3 linked regions of the Drosophila melanogaster genome follow. The protein of the gene in region 1 interacts with the protein of each later gene in a biochemical or structural test. Each region holds a gene or a part of one and is shown in the gene's direction. Other genes may lie near its edges.

The links. The genes of interacting proteins can lie anywhere in the genome.
Region 2: the proteins of dpr9 (region 1) and DIP-delta form a complex in vitro, tested with the Drosophila melanogaster proteins (one study listed by BioGRID).
Region 3: the proteins of dpr9 (region 1) and DIP-epsilon form a complex in vitro, tested with the Drosophila melanogaster proteins (one study listed by BioGRID).

What each region holds. Positions count from the first base shown.
Region 1 is NT_033777.3:15,074,192-15,079,189, reverse strand, and holds the start of dpr9 (defective proboscis extension response 9), read left to right. Parts: upstream 1-1,983; 5' UTR 1,984-2,154; intron 2,155-2,903; 5' UTR 2,904-3,060; intron 3,061-4,998. Other genes in the region: CG6974 (uncharacterized protein), read left to right, coding at 1-660.
Region 2 is NT_037436.4:5,422,150-5,427,120, forward strand, and holds the start of DIP-delta (Dpr-interacting protein delta), read left to right. Parts: upstream 1-1,959; 5' UTR 1,960-2,126; intron 2,127-4,971.
Region 3 is NT_033779.5:6,408,315-6,413,026, reverse strand, and holds the start of DIP-epsilon (Dpr-interacting protein epsilon), read left to right. Parts: upstream 1-1,700; 5' UTR 1,701-2,200; intron 2,201-4,466; 5' UTR 4,467-4,643; coding exon 4,644-4,712. Other genes in the region: CG13982 (uncharacterized protein), read right to left, coding at 169-323.

The sequences.
Region 1 (4,998 bases):
AACGAGATACATATTGATGACGAGCAGGCGGAGGCCAAAACCCGAAATGCATTGACTTCTCCACTCCAACGTTGGCCAGGCAATAAGATATTGTACCGCATATCTACGGACTACAGTGAACAGGAGGTAGCCAATGTGCGGACAGCAATGTCAAGTTTTGGCGAGCAAACCTGTGTGCAGTTCGAAGAGATCGAAGGAGCTCCGCCCGCAGGCAAACGATATGTGTCCTTCAAGAAGTCGCCCAATATGTGTGGCACTCGAGTGGGCTATCAACCTCTGTCCTTTGGTCCGCACGAAGTTGTCCTTAACGAGAAATGCCTCACTATGCCGGCTGTAATTCAACACGAAACCCTTCACCTGCTGGGCCTTTTCCACGAGCAGAGTCGTCCCGATCGCGATGAGTACGTGCAAATCGACTACGACAATATCCCGAGGAAATACTGGTCGCAGTTCATGGCCATGGATCAGACAACCACCTTCAATGTTCCATACGATTACGAGAGCGTTATGCACTATTCGAAGAACGCCTTCGCCAAGGATCCCTCAAAGCCAACAATTCGTGCCCTAATCGGTGGTAAGGCTGTGGAGAGGGAAATGGGTCAGGTGCGAGGACCTTCCGAAGGGGATTGGACCAAAATTCGTTTGATGTACAAGTGCTAGAGTGGAGGAAGAATTCTGCGAGGACTAGGATTGGTTAATAAATATGTTGCGTTCTAAAGTGGATGTGTTTAAATGGAATGGTTTAATATGCAAACTTTCAGACCGATTGCATGGTTTTTCAATCTTTTATGGCTTTTCATTTAAGTCTATCACTAAGTCATTTAAGCCCCACCCACCCGAAAAGTGCTACCCGTTTAATGCTACCCAATCATTCAGTGTCCGTTAACTGGAAAAACGTTTTTCCAGCCTCTTGAAAATGGGTAGCCCCGCTCGAACATAAAGGAAATCCAAATCCAAGCCCAAGGCGAATGCATTTGATTTCACAGAAGTGCAAGTGTAAGTGTCAGTTAACTTTGAAGCAGACTAAGGAGCAGTTGGGGAAGAAAGCGGGGCTTCTCAATGCTGAATGGGGTCTGCCGTGGATTGGGCATGAGTCCAAACGACTGGGCAGCAAACAATCCGAATCCCTGGCACTTAATGTGCACTAAGTGCTTAAGAAGGCCGAGTGTCTGGAGCTGCCTATTAGAAGTCTCTCACTCCCCTGGCCAGTAACCACCCACTTTGGATCAGGATACCATTTCATGGATAGCAATTGCGGAATTTAAATAACCTTTTTAAATCCCTGACAGCTTTGCAAAAATCGAATTGTACGAGTTAAAGAATCAACCAAGCAAGAAGAAATTTTCATCTGCTTAAATTTAAAGAATATATCTTTGCTATAAAGAATCCAATTATTTTGACATGAATTATCTTATATGCCCAGATAGAAATAATATTTACTGAAATGTGACGAATATTATTTAATAGCTTTGACCTTTAAAGAAAACTGTCAGAAAACAAACCAATAAAAGCTAATAAATGTGCCGCATGGTAGTAAGAGAGTATTCCTGTATCTCCACTAATAATTTAGCAACAACATACAACGAATGTGTAAATGTTTGCTTAAAGGAGAATATAAATAACAAACAAAAGAATAAACGCTGTAGTTTACCCTTTTGAGTGGTACAAAATAGCACTATTGGCAAGTGTTGAGTTCTGCAAAGCGGGGCAAAGAGTTGTGGCTTCGTAAGGATGCCAACAGATGGCCATTAAATGCTTGCCTTAAGAGAGCCGGATATCAAAGAGACTCCACATGTTTCGGGAAGTTCGAAAGTGCCATCGGTGAGAGTGAAGACCGACTGGAAGTGAGCTGGCAGGATGAATACATTTTGGCCCACTGTTCTAGGCGGAAAAGCTCGCTCTCTCGCCGAAAAAGGGGAAGAGGAAAATGGGAGCTTTGGCTGGTCGCCTGGCTTTTCAAGCCGACGCCGTTCGTGTGGCTTTCAGTGTATTCAGTGCAGTCGTATCGTTCGGTTCGTTCTCACGGTGAAAAGCGGTGGAAGGTCCTGTTCGGAGGACAACCTCAATACGCCACTCACACACGCACAAGTGGGCTTACTCACACGGACACGGGTGCGCTAGTCGAAAGTAAAAGTTGTCCAGTGTGCCATAAAGGTAAATAATAAATGAGCCAATGTGAAATATACGCACGCAATGTGAAAGCAACGAAATATATGAAGAAATCTACGGAAAAATGAAAATCTAGACCTGCGTGCCAGTGTGCAAAATCAAGTATGCAACACTTAAGTGAAACGAATATCCCAAAATAAAGTGTGCAAGAGTGCCAGCGATCCTTGAATATTCGAGTACCAAACTAAAATACTAAGCCAGACTAAAACTAAAAACCGAACCTGCCCCAACTGATCCTTCACCTCAATTCTTACCTATCAAGGCCACACGGCGGCTGTGGCATATTAACGTTGCACTCGTTGCACGTTGCACATACAGCCAACTCACACAAAAAATGTTATTCATCTTCGCGTGCTGTTTTGTTTTTTAAGACCGCCAAGGTCGTCCAGGAATACGTATATCTCTTAACGCGGTCCGAGAATTTTAGAAATAATTATAAGAAATACTTTGGGGTTTCCTTTTAAAATTTCTCGGAAAATGTTGCGATTTTCCCTCGTCTGAACTTTTGCTTTTTAACTTTTTTCTTTCGCCTTCCCTTTGGGGCTCATAAATTAGGGTCGCATTCCGCTTAACCGGGAATATTTGCATAAAATGGGAAAAAGGGCGAGAAATGGTTTAAATACGGGAATCACACGGCTGAGATATTCAACACATGAAAAAAAGGGGGCATATAAAATGAGTTCACAGGCCTTGATGGGTTGAGATAAAGCAAACATTAAAGTCCCTTTATTTAGATGATAAAAAATTGAAAAACAAAAGTGAAAATTAGCACTGCGAAAATTCCAAGGTTCATAAAGATTCGGTACCGAAACTTTTGAGTTTTATCAAAAACCCAAACATCGAAAAATTTGCAACAAAACAGGATCAAAGGACAACAGCAGCGCAGCAAAGGTGAGCCCTTTTAATTTTATTGAGCCAATTATCCAATAATTTCATTAACTAGTTAACACCAATAATCATGTATTTCCTTACAAAAAAAAAAAAAAAACAAAAACACATATCAACCAATGTGTCATTGTTTGAGTTTGGGTGGTGCGTTGGTTTTCCCAGTGGCGGAAAAGCCAAGCCAACGGGTGGTACGGTTACATTTTTATTTATTGTGATATTTTTTTTCGCTGTTTCTCTTTGCTGTGGTTAGAAGTTGTTCAGGAAAAAATGTTGCCGGTGGGAGGAGCTTGGATTGTTAGCTCAATTTAATTATGAAAATGCCAAGAATTTCTCTGGGCACACACGTGCCTAAACATACAGGTGGGTGGTATTCCAATCAACTTATTTTATTAAATGTTGTGGGGGAAGGACACCAAATTTATGCTCCTAAAAGCTTATATTAAGACTCACTGATGGAAAGGTGTTATAAATAATAATGACTATTTTTAATTAATATACAAACGGAATATTATAAGTGTTATAAGTATTTGAGAGCTACTTGTTGGTTAATTAAAATTTTATCAGGCAACTGAACATAAACCTGATTCAGTTACTACGAACTGAAATTTTGTTCTTCGGAAACATACTAATAAGCCTATTTAAACTCTTTTAAGTTCTTGAAATTAATTAGCTAATGATCCATTATTTATAATGAAACATTATTGCTAAGAACCATAAATTCGCGATGGGTAAGGCTTACATTTAAATAGGTCACGTGAAATGCCTTCGTTTTCAGTTTTACTAAGAGTCGTAGCTTTCCACTCATGTGGCACATATTTCTGTGGCATCCACCACAAATTTCCATTACTGAGATTGCCTTAGAAAATATGCTTAGATGCTACACCTTTGACCACTTTCCCAACACCATTACCTGTGAGCTCAGGGAAAAGGTAACTAAGACTTTCCGCCCGACAAGATTGCCATTTTATGCTAGACATTTTCTAAGAAAATAAAACAACATTTTATTTACACGCTGCTTCAGCAAGGTCACTTATTATGGAACTTTGCGCGTCAGAAAGTTGCCCAAATACATAAATTATTTTTATTGTACTTAACCTTTTTTTTTTTTGCCTTGACTTTCCCTATTCATTGTCTGGCCCAAATCAGCTTAAGTCACACAGAAAAGAAATTCATAAGCTTGCTTTAAGATGCGAGTAACCGAAAGATACAAATAAGTGAAGTAGGCCGAACAGAAAATAGGCTTTAAAAGCTGTTTGGTTACTCTATAAAATATTTCGGTTGAGCTTATAGAATTTCAGAACGACATTAATAACCCTTCTTTCGTTAGAAAAAAAAGGGTTATAATATTGAGCCAAATTATAAGCAAAAAATTGTATTTTATGTGCATGGTTTCCTACAATTCATCGAATTGGATTGATACAAAAAGTAACTGTAGCTGATTAAACTTGCTTATGACTCTATGACCTGAATATATTTTCCCATTTAATCAGCTTACAATTGTTGCAATATTTTTTTAAATGGCACAATAAAGTTGAAAATGCAATGGAAGTGCAACACAAAACGCGTCCATTATATTTGTTTTGGCATTGACATATTTACTTGATTTAAATTTTTATGAATACCCTTTTGTTTACTTGTGAAACTCTTTGAGCGTACAATTTTGAATGAATGAAATATTATGCAAATGTTTGATAAATAGCAGGAAATCAAAAGCAAACAAAAGGAGAAAATTGTTAAGCAAAAATATAATTGATGGCAATCGCACACAATTGCAGCCGAGCGAAGACATAATTAAAAGAAATATATATGTATATGTATATATGCGTACGTATGGGTGTATTAATCAAACATAATTACTCTGGTCATGCATATTTGATTAATCGGTTAAAAGGAAGGTCCTGTGGTCGTGTTCCACTTTTGTTTGACCTGACAGCTGTCGCT
Region 2 (4,971 bases), on another chromosome or scaffold:
ACGCACACACAAAAGTTTGCACGGGACTTCACAATGCGTGGCGCCTTTTAATGTGACCAGATCGGGGGAAGTGGAAGTAGGGCGGTCGCAAAATAATGGTACTACAAAATGGTAAGATTAGTTTTATCGATTCTCTGATATGCTGATGCCTCATTATGCCTAAAGTGCCTGCCATATGTTCGTAAAAGGGTCAAAGGTTAAGCACTTGCTCGAGTTTGGACCCCCAAGCAACTTTAGCTTACCGCAAACCACAAATCGCCGTTTAAATATTAATACATCAATCCACTTAATATGCGAGTTTATGCCATCGAATGATGTAATAAATATAAAAGAAGGAGCCGCAGACACTCGGATAAAGATGATGCCCATATGCGGATGCCGTAAATCCTTCCTCGGCTCCATCTGCAATGTCTGTGGGAATGGAAGTCTCTCATCCACTACACTTTATGATGAGTTTTCCCCGGTTGGCTGATGGATTCACAAGTACACACATACTGTAAAGGGACCACAAAGAGCATCTCCATTAAAGTTACAGTCAGACTTCAATGGATTTCATATTTTTTGGGCTTTCCATTCTGGTTCTTTGACTTTTTCATTTATTGCAGCTGGCAAAAGTCAACCGCAATATGCCAGTAAAGCAAACAAGATTGTAATATGCCGAAAACAAAACAAATTCCTGGTATAAGAGCGCACTTCCTGAAATCCAACTTAGCCTTAGCAAGGCTGGCCTTCACTGCGGTGGTCCTGGCATAAAGGAAGTGGGCTCCTTGTTTACTTGAGAACTTATAAAGAAAACATCAACTTGGATTTCCGACACAACTGTGGAGAAGGGAATGGGTACAACAATACCGGGAAAGCAACTACTTCAACAGCATTCTAACCGTCGGAACCAGCGGATATGAAAGCAAAATTTTGCATTAAAACTTAAGAAATCATTGGGCCTTCCTCGTAAGAGGTCCCGAGATAAGAAGGCAAAATAGAATATTTCCCTTGGCTAAAGATTGCGTAAGGTTCTGCCACCATGGTCATTGCGTATTTGTGGGTTCGCTTGTGCGTTATGATTGCACGAGCAAAACCAAATGCAAATTCAGATTCTGTTGTGATGGGCAAAAGGGCGTCCACGAGTTTAGTAACAGTCTTTATCATTATTTGGTAACATAATGTACTAGTCTCTTTAAGTTTCACAGCATAACACAAGTGGTTTGCAGTCCACTGAAAAGAATGTTTCTTTACATACACTTTCATATTTGCTGTTATAAGGAAAGAGTAATTAAATATTTGCAATATGTGTAATACTTTATATAAATTCCCACAACCAAGTGTTATACCCGTATTTTTATGGGTAACAACTTTGCTACCACTTTAAATTTCTTACTTATATTTTATTCCTTTTCTAATCACCTGCTTTACCCATGTTTACCTTTGCCCGGCTAAAAGCGAACCCAATCCCCACATAAATACCCATTCAAGTTCAAGTCAACCCTTAAGGAGGCCTAAAACCGCAGCGTAAACCAAACGAGGGAACAGCATTTGCCGGTTCGCTCGTTGGATTTAATTTTGGCTTACACATTCTTGGCCAATGAGATTTATGCGTTGCTTGCGAGTTGTTGTAACTGCTGTTGTACTTCTTCCGCTCTTTTCACCCACATTTTTGTCCCACAACAGCCCAAGTTGGGGGATATACTGATATAAAAAAAAGGGCGCAAAATGTTGTTTTGATTTGGCTTCCGTTTTCTCCTTGAATTTCTTTCTCAGCAAAAGCCGAGCACGTGTTTCGTTCGAAAAACAACGACGCTTGCGCTGAAAACGTTTTCGAAACTGAACGAAACTTTGGCCGTACTCATACACGAAGTCCAAAGCGAGTGAATACGAATGGAAAACTTCGGTTTTCGGATACCCGAAGCCTTTTTTCCTGCTTTTGCCAATGAAGCGAACCATTGAGCGGCACGATTTGAATTCAGTTTGACTCGAACCTGCTCCGGAAGTAGAAGTCAGCCCGCGAGTTTCCATCGCAAGGGAAAATTCTCAATAAAACACAACAAATTAATCATCTTTTAATCACAGTTAAAAACGAGTTAATTGCAAATTACTCGCTCGTAAAAAGTGCTCATACCTAAACATACAAAGTAAACCACCAAGTGTGTAACAATTAAAATAAATCTTGTGTTAGTGCGGTTGGCCATAAAAATAATTCGTGTCGCAACAGCAGGCGACAATAAATTTTGCGGTTGGATCGTTAAAATTTCGCTTTACCTGAATGCAACTGAAGCCGGAAAATAGCAAATGAGAACGCGGAGTTTTCCCTACCATTAACTTTTTTTTGCAGCAATTTGAATTCGGGGGAAAATTCATTAAAAATACAGCTGAAGCTCAAGACGAGAGACGCTTGCTCACTCAGCCCTGTGCCACATAAATTTCACGGCAATCAGCCGGCGCTGCAAGTCATCCAAACTTCATTTGTTGCTACTTGGGCTCAGGGCTCTCGGTTCTGCTTGGTTCTGTTTTTCCGTTTTTGCTCCTGCAGGATCTGGATCCTGCCCCATGGCTCCTGCAGCTGAAATATTGCTTCCATTATTTATGTTAAGTTTATGCAACATTCTCCCTGCTGCTGCTCCCACCAGCACAAGTCCTGCTGCAGCACAAGTCCTTCCTCTCTTGTTTTTAATATCCTTCAGCTTGTAAAGGAATTACTCCTCAAGCCGGCAACTAAGAGCAAACTCAAGTCTCACGGCATTCGGCTCCTGGTTATCCACCATTTTTATAGTCTGCCTTTATTTTTGGTTCGTCTATTTCCATCATTTGCCTCGTTATTCAAACATCATCATCTTTCTGGTTCAGTGCACTGGGCTCGGGAAAAGTGCGGATAACAAGGAGCGCCATGTTATTGCCATCGAGTGCATTAATAAATCAATTGTTTTTTGCATCTCAAAGAGCTCGCTTTGCTCCAGAGATTGACAGGTCGGAAATCTGAAATGTAATCGCTGCCAGACGAAGCAATTTGCCAAGAAATGAACTCTAATTGGGTTCACTTGGAAAGTTATAAAGGAAAACGGATAAAGGCGGTGAAGAGCTCATAAATTTGCTTGTTAAACACTTGAATACATTAAAGCCCTTGAATCAGACGATCGCAAAAGGTGCGTGGAACAGAACTGTCAGTTGAAGTTGACTTTGAACTTTTAAAACTTTTGAAGAATTCAGTAAAAATCAGCAATATCCGAATATTAATTTAAATGTACAATATAATGCCTCAAGCTAATTTAAAAGTTGGAAAAATTTTAAATGAGCCAAATGCTTTCAACTCAAAAGGCAATCTTAAAATTCGCGGAAACTAACCATAAGCTATTTAGTTACCCAAATGGACCACAGGAAAATGTGTGCTTCTATGTTTTCGCCTCAAGCTCATTAACTGCTCGGAGCTCTCCCTACTAGATTGTTATTTTTCCCTCAGCTCACACAGAAAGGATAATAGGGGGAAAACAGGAACATTTACTAATTAGCACTCCCAGGCTGCACACAATGAATGTAAAATTATCAAATCGTTTTCTGCGCATTTTTTTTTTATTTTTGTTTAGTTTGTTTGTGGTATTAAAAAGGAAATAAAGGAAAAGATTCCTTGGTAGCAAATGTTGTGGGTGGACGAAGTGAAGTATTCATGGCAGCGAAACGAAAACGAATTTCAATGCATTTTTCAGCTGCACTCTATGACATTTTTAAGCGTGCACTTACAAAAATTATTAAAAATATGTTTTTGATAAGAACTTGCCAGAAGATTTTTGCAATTGAAAGCGAAAATATAGTTAAAACCCAAATTAAAGAACTTCAAATTGTTAAATTTAAGAGACATACTTTTTGAAAATTATTTTAAAATATAAATTAATTTTTATTTTATTTTAAATATTTTTTGAATGCCAATTTGGCGGTGTAGTGTATCCACATTCAGGCATCTGCAAACAATTCCATGTGCGCTGGCTGTCAGATCTGCAGGAATTGCTCAGCTGCCTGGCCGACGATTCTCCTGTCGCGGAAAGAGACAGCCTGAATGGGCAGAAAGAGACGGACTAAAGGAGATGACAGCCATGAATGGCATTTCTTCTGCTACCTCCGAGCATAATTTACATTGTATTTCAACTTGAGTGTGCAGTTGAGGCTGTCTTTTATGGTTTGTCTTGGCTCGCTTCGGGCTTTTCGTTTGGATTTTTCCCGCTTTCAGCTTTTATACAGTTCTCTTTGGCGAACGAAAAGTTTCACTTGTCACAGGCTATGGAATTTGCCGAGTAAAAGGCTTTCTTCGCGTTACGCGAGCGGAAACCTTGGTTAGCTACAATTTATACATGTCGAGCTTGTTAAGTTGTGATTGCGCTCTGGCCTAAAAGTGGACTTCTGGCTACGTACTGATTGCATCATAATTACCCAACTGCCTCCGTCCCTGATTTTTGCCCCTAAGTGCTTTTTAACGAGCTCTCTTCGGTTTTGGCTGCTGCTGCTGCTGCTGCTTTTGCTGTTTGTTGTCCGTTTGAAAAAGGTCCGGAAATAGGAGGGCAAAAAATTTCAAACATTTGTTTTACCCCCCGACACAAATGATTTTCTGTCGTAATTTTCCACCAGTGAAACCAGTCATGGTCATTTCCCTTTCAGCCGCTTTTCGAACTCTGTCGTTATAATCTGCTACATGGACCCCATAATTTGTAATTTCAACCTAATTACTTCAAGCCCAGCCGAACGGGGATCGGACCAGCTAAACAATGTTGTCCGTAATAAAATGTCAAAAACCAAAGCAAAACGCCCATTTCGTCTGATTTACACACACACATGAAGACCAGAAGGACACGCCCCCTCACACGCACAGTGCGTATGATTTCGGTTTTTGTGTCCTTTGCTGGTGACATATGTTAATGATCTGGCAGCGATTTCTGGGTCATTTAAATTGATTTTTACGCTTGTCTGTTTATTTTTGTTATTTAATTAAAATGG
Region 3 (4,712 bases), on another chromosome or scaffold:
GCCTGTGGCACATTGTTTTGTGGCAACCAGCGGCCGTTGCATAGTTTTAGGCTGTTGACCCCCAACTAGCCAATTCCACCCCGTGCTTAGCCACTATTGATTGGTCAGCGGATTTGCGCGCGAACGAAAGTCAGCGGAGTTGAGCTTCAACTAATTGGCCCCACTCACCAGAGCCAGCTGTTGGCCACCCAGGACGTGGGGGGAGTTGTCAGTGAAGACGACGTCGAGGAAGTCGAGTGGGTGGTGGAGTCGGACGTTGAGGTGCAGGCGGAGTGGGCTGGTGCGGCGGCAGCTGTGGCACAGCTGCCAAGGCATGAACCCATGGAGAAGGGGCTGCTCCTGTCGCTGCTACAAGATCCTTGCTGGCTTCGATGCGGCTGCACTTGGCATTTCACGTCACTTTTTCGCCAGCCAGGCGCCACATTTCATTACGCTCGGGTCAAGGCTCCGCGGTGATGGCCCCTTCCCGTGGGCTTTCCGATTACCCTTTTGGACTCCGGAGCCCCTTTCAACGCAACTCCACACACTCCGCGGCACAGAGCGTAACTGTTTTTCATGCGCCGAGTGCGTCGACGTCAGTGAGTGACGGTGACGCCCCCACGCTTTCTTGGCTAAATGCTCCGTAAGCCTAGTGACGGAGTTTCTGTTTGGCCCTGCAGCAGTTGGGTGGTGGGTGGTGGCCACCTTTTGAGAGTCAGCTGTTTCGACTGAGTGTTGTGGCTTTCGCGTTTTGCGCTGTCAAGTGGCTAAAGTCAACAGGAGAGCAAAGCGTCTTGTGACAGGAGCTTTCGTCACTACTTAAAGCTTAGACGGACGCTCAAAGTTAATAAATTCACGGCACGGAGCGCTTTCGACTAGCAGTAGCTTTATCAGGGGTAATAACGGGAAATGTTAGGGTATTGCAGGACCGACATGATGAAGCTTTGCTTGGGGTGTAAAATGGGAAATGTTAAGGCTTGTAGGACCAAATTGTGTGAGCTTTGTTAGGGGTTATAAAGGGAAATGTAGAGCAAAGAAACCAAGTTCTTTTATAAATTTCTCTTTAATGAAGTTTGTATTGCAGCATCCTCTTCTTAAGATAGCGATGTTAACAGCAAGCTAAAGAAGTCTTGCCTTTTGAACTCTGACATTTATGGTCACAGAACTTGGAAATGCGTTTGCAGTCCCTAGCTGTAAATGTGTTAAAGTGCTAAGCTATTATTCCATTATGCCCGCTCAAAGACCAAGTAACAAATGTTCAATGATTAGCGAAGATGAAAAACATGTTTTCACTGTAAGACAGATGAGGGAGTTTTGAGGGATAACTCAAAAATGCTTACACAAGTGATACGCCCTGCTCTATTATGTTCAGAAAGAAATAATACGTTTCTTTATTTAGCTCACATATGCACATACTAATACTGGAAATTCTGCGACCTTTGGCTTTTCTCACATTTTTTCTCTCACATGATGAACATAAAATTTAACCCGCCGCATTAGCTGACGGAACGGATAGTGGAGTGGTGCATTAAAACACTCGGCGGATCGTTGGATTGATTGTTCGCTGTTTTCGGGGCTGTTAGTAGCAGAAAGTGCTGTTTGGCTCTGCAGCCAGGGCTATAAACATATGTAAGCTAACATAAATCACGGCCAACCGCAACATTTGTTTATCTTTTTAACATGCCGCAGCCGAAGTGAATCGCACGACGGGATGCTGCTGCCAGTGTGAAATCGGCTGTCGTTTCGTTCGGTTGTCGTTAGTCTGCGGTACCGCATCCGCATCAGTATTCGCAGTCGCAGTCGCAATCGCTTTTGAATCCCGAACCCGAATCGGTAACGGTATCAGAACCAGAATCGGTTTCGTTAGACGTGCGTGGACGTGGTCTTTCTTATTTGCACTGGCCAAATAGTTTAAAATAGTATTTTCGATTGGCATTAGTGGCGGCGAATGGTTGTTGTAAATCAACTGCTGTGAGTGCTTTTATTCGATATCCCATGCCATTTATGCACCTCCGCTGCCCACCGGAGGAGCTGCTGGCTTTGTGACGGCGTCTGTGTGTCTGCCGCGTGGTCCCCTAATTTAGTTATGTTGCAAAAACGGAGAACGGCAGAGGGAAACATGAAAATCCGTTGTTATGTTGTCTCGCTGCTCTATTTATAAATTGATTTGCTGATTCCTGCCGACATCTGACGCCCCATCCAGCAGCCAGACATTGCCACGGTGAGTTATTAGTTTCTGGAAGCAGGGCGACATCGGATGGAGGAGAACGAAGTTGCAGATGGGGCATCATTGAATAGTGAGTTCGCAGGATGGCCTGTTTAGGGAGCTGCATCTTTTACAAAGGATCCTTCCGAATTGGTTTACATCTGCTGGGAGAAGCTGTGCAGGCAATTGATTGCACTTTGAATGTTTCATTAGCCGGCTTTCAAAATAATGCGAATTGTATGCAAATCTAACTTCAAATTTAATTTTCTTTTTGTTTCATTTATGAAACTAAGTACTAAATGCGTAGCAAATTATTATTATTATTTACATGGCCAATGGCATCCTCGTAAAGACCAATATCTACTTGTTTAAATTAAACCATCCTCTGTCTTTATTTCCAACTTAAATTGTGCGTTTCCAGTTCCCGCGGCACAGTCTGACTCAGATATTTATATATCTTCCTGACGGCCGTCTACGTGGTGGCAATGTGCACCGAAGTGCAAAAGCCGGCTACTATATATGTAAACAAACGTGCAGAAATCTGCAATGATTGTCCGATCGAAAAGATTAATATACCGTGGAATGAAATCGTTTTAAGAGGTAATACGAATTTACGATGCGCTGTTTGCGGTTAGTGTGAAATTGAAGTTTTATGTTCACTTCAGTAATAAATAAACACAATCGTCATTAAAAAGTTAGCTCTAAAGATCGAATCCTTTGGGTGACACAAGCACTTGGTTGAATTCCCTGTGCTGTGGAAAAGAAAAGAAATAATAATTATAATTAAATAATTAATTTCATTTTGATTGATTGATTCGGTTCGGTGTGATTATAGTGCAGAAAGGAAGCACTCCTTTCTCATGCTATACGTACTTTTACCCGAAGAATACGATAGAAGATTTCTGCGCCACGGGCTTGTTGCTATTATTCGTTATTCATTTTTGCGTGTGAAAGGAAATGTAAATTGATTTATTATGCAAAAGCGAGTAAATGCTCCCTAGGAGACGGAAAGACAGAGCAGAAGTCAGACCGGCGGAGCATTCACCGCTGGCTCCTTTTCATCATGCGGCTACATCACTTCGAAGATGTGGGAAATATCCTTTCTGTCTGCGGGGCACAAACATTGCTGTTTACAATGATTTAAATGCATTACGAATTCACGGTCCATTTACATTTCGCGGTTAGTTCTATGGATGCAACAATCGTCGTCGCGTGAAAATACACCAGACAATACATTTTGGTGTACCAAACTATCACGTATTTATGTCATTCATACAATAATACATATATTTTTGACCATCAGTTGGTTGCTTATCAATCAGGTGAACTTTGGGTCATTAACGCTTAAATCTAAAAAACACATTTTATAAGAAACAAAATTGAATCTTATAAGATGTCAATGGTTCACTAAAATCTTCCTCAGCATAACGTTCAAAATCTTTGTTTAGATATCACAACCAAAATGAATGTTAAGTCGGCCGGCTTAGAAATCAATTAAGTTTGCAATTCGGTTTCAATAACCCTTACTTAATGGAAAATCCACAACAGCTGTCCCCAAGGAGGCATTCTAATTGAAATGCATTCATATTGCAATAGAATGAAGAAATTGACGAGACTGGAAGGACCTCCATGGGTTTACTTGACTGCCGTAGCCGGAGTGTAAAACAACAGCTGACAGAGCAAATTGCTTTTCGCTTATGACACGAGCAGGAATTAAAAACAAGGAAAAAATTCTTCTATGCATGCATGCAGCAAAACAACCACGAAAAGGAAGCTGATAATTCTGATGGTGACGATAACGTTGTCCCTGGCATTTGAACGGATTTGAGGTCGTTCGGAGACTTAGGGTTCGTCACTGCTCTGATATCTTCCTAATGCTGATCCTCTTTATTGAAAACTCCTTAATCCGTGAAAAAGATGCAAGCCAGGTGTGGGTCTGGTTAAAATGGCTCATAAAAATCTTAAGCATAAAAAATGGTGTGTCCGCTCGTCTGTCCGTATGTATGATATACAAAATCTCTTCAACTATTATAAATTTGAAAGCTTAGATTAAAGTTTATAAGATATGATTAAGTACGGTTGTAATCAATAAGCCGTGTAAAGGGTATGGGATAGCCGTGTAACACGAAAACAGGTCTCATTCCTTGCGGTAAATGGAAAATTGAGCAATGACAAATTAAATGTACACTTAAGCCTAAAAGCATGAAGCCATGTATAATTTCTTTTTTTTATTAATATTTTCATCAATAATGGCAACCTATAATTTCTCCTCATATTTCAGGGGTAGCGTGCATAAAAGCCAATCGCAATTAAACGTTGATCGATTCCAAAAGCAAACACAACATGAGCCGGAATATACTGTAATGCTGCACAATATTTGTACGCAATAAATAATTAAGTTTTCTTAATTGAAAAGCTAAACAACGGTAAAAAAAAGGGGCATCAAACTTACAGCAAAATGGCATACCACCTCGAAGCGATTTCTTCGTTTCTGTATGTGGGCCTTGGTTGCCTGATTGCCTCCTCT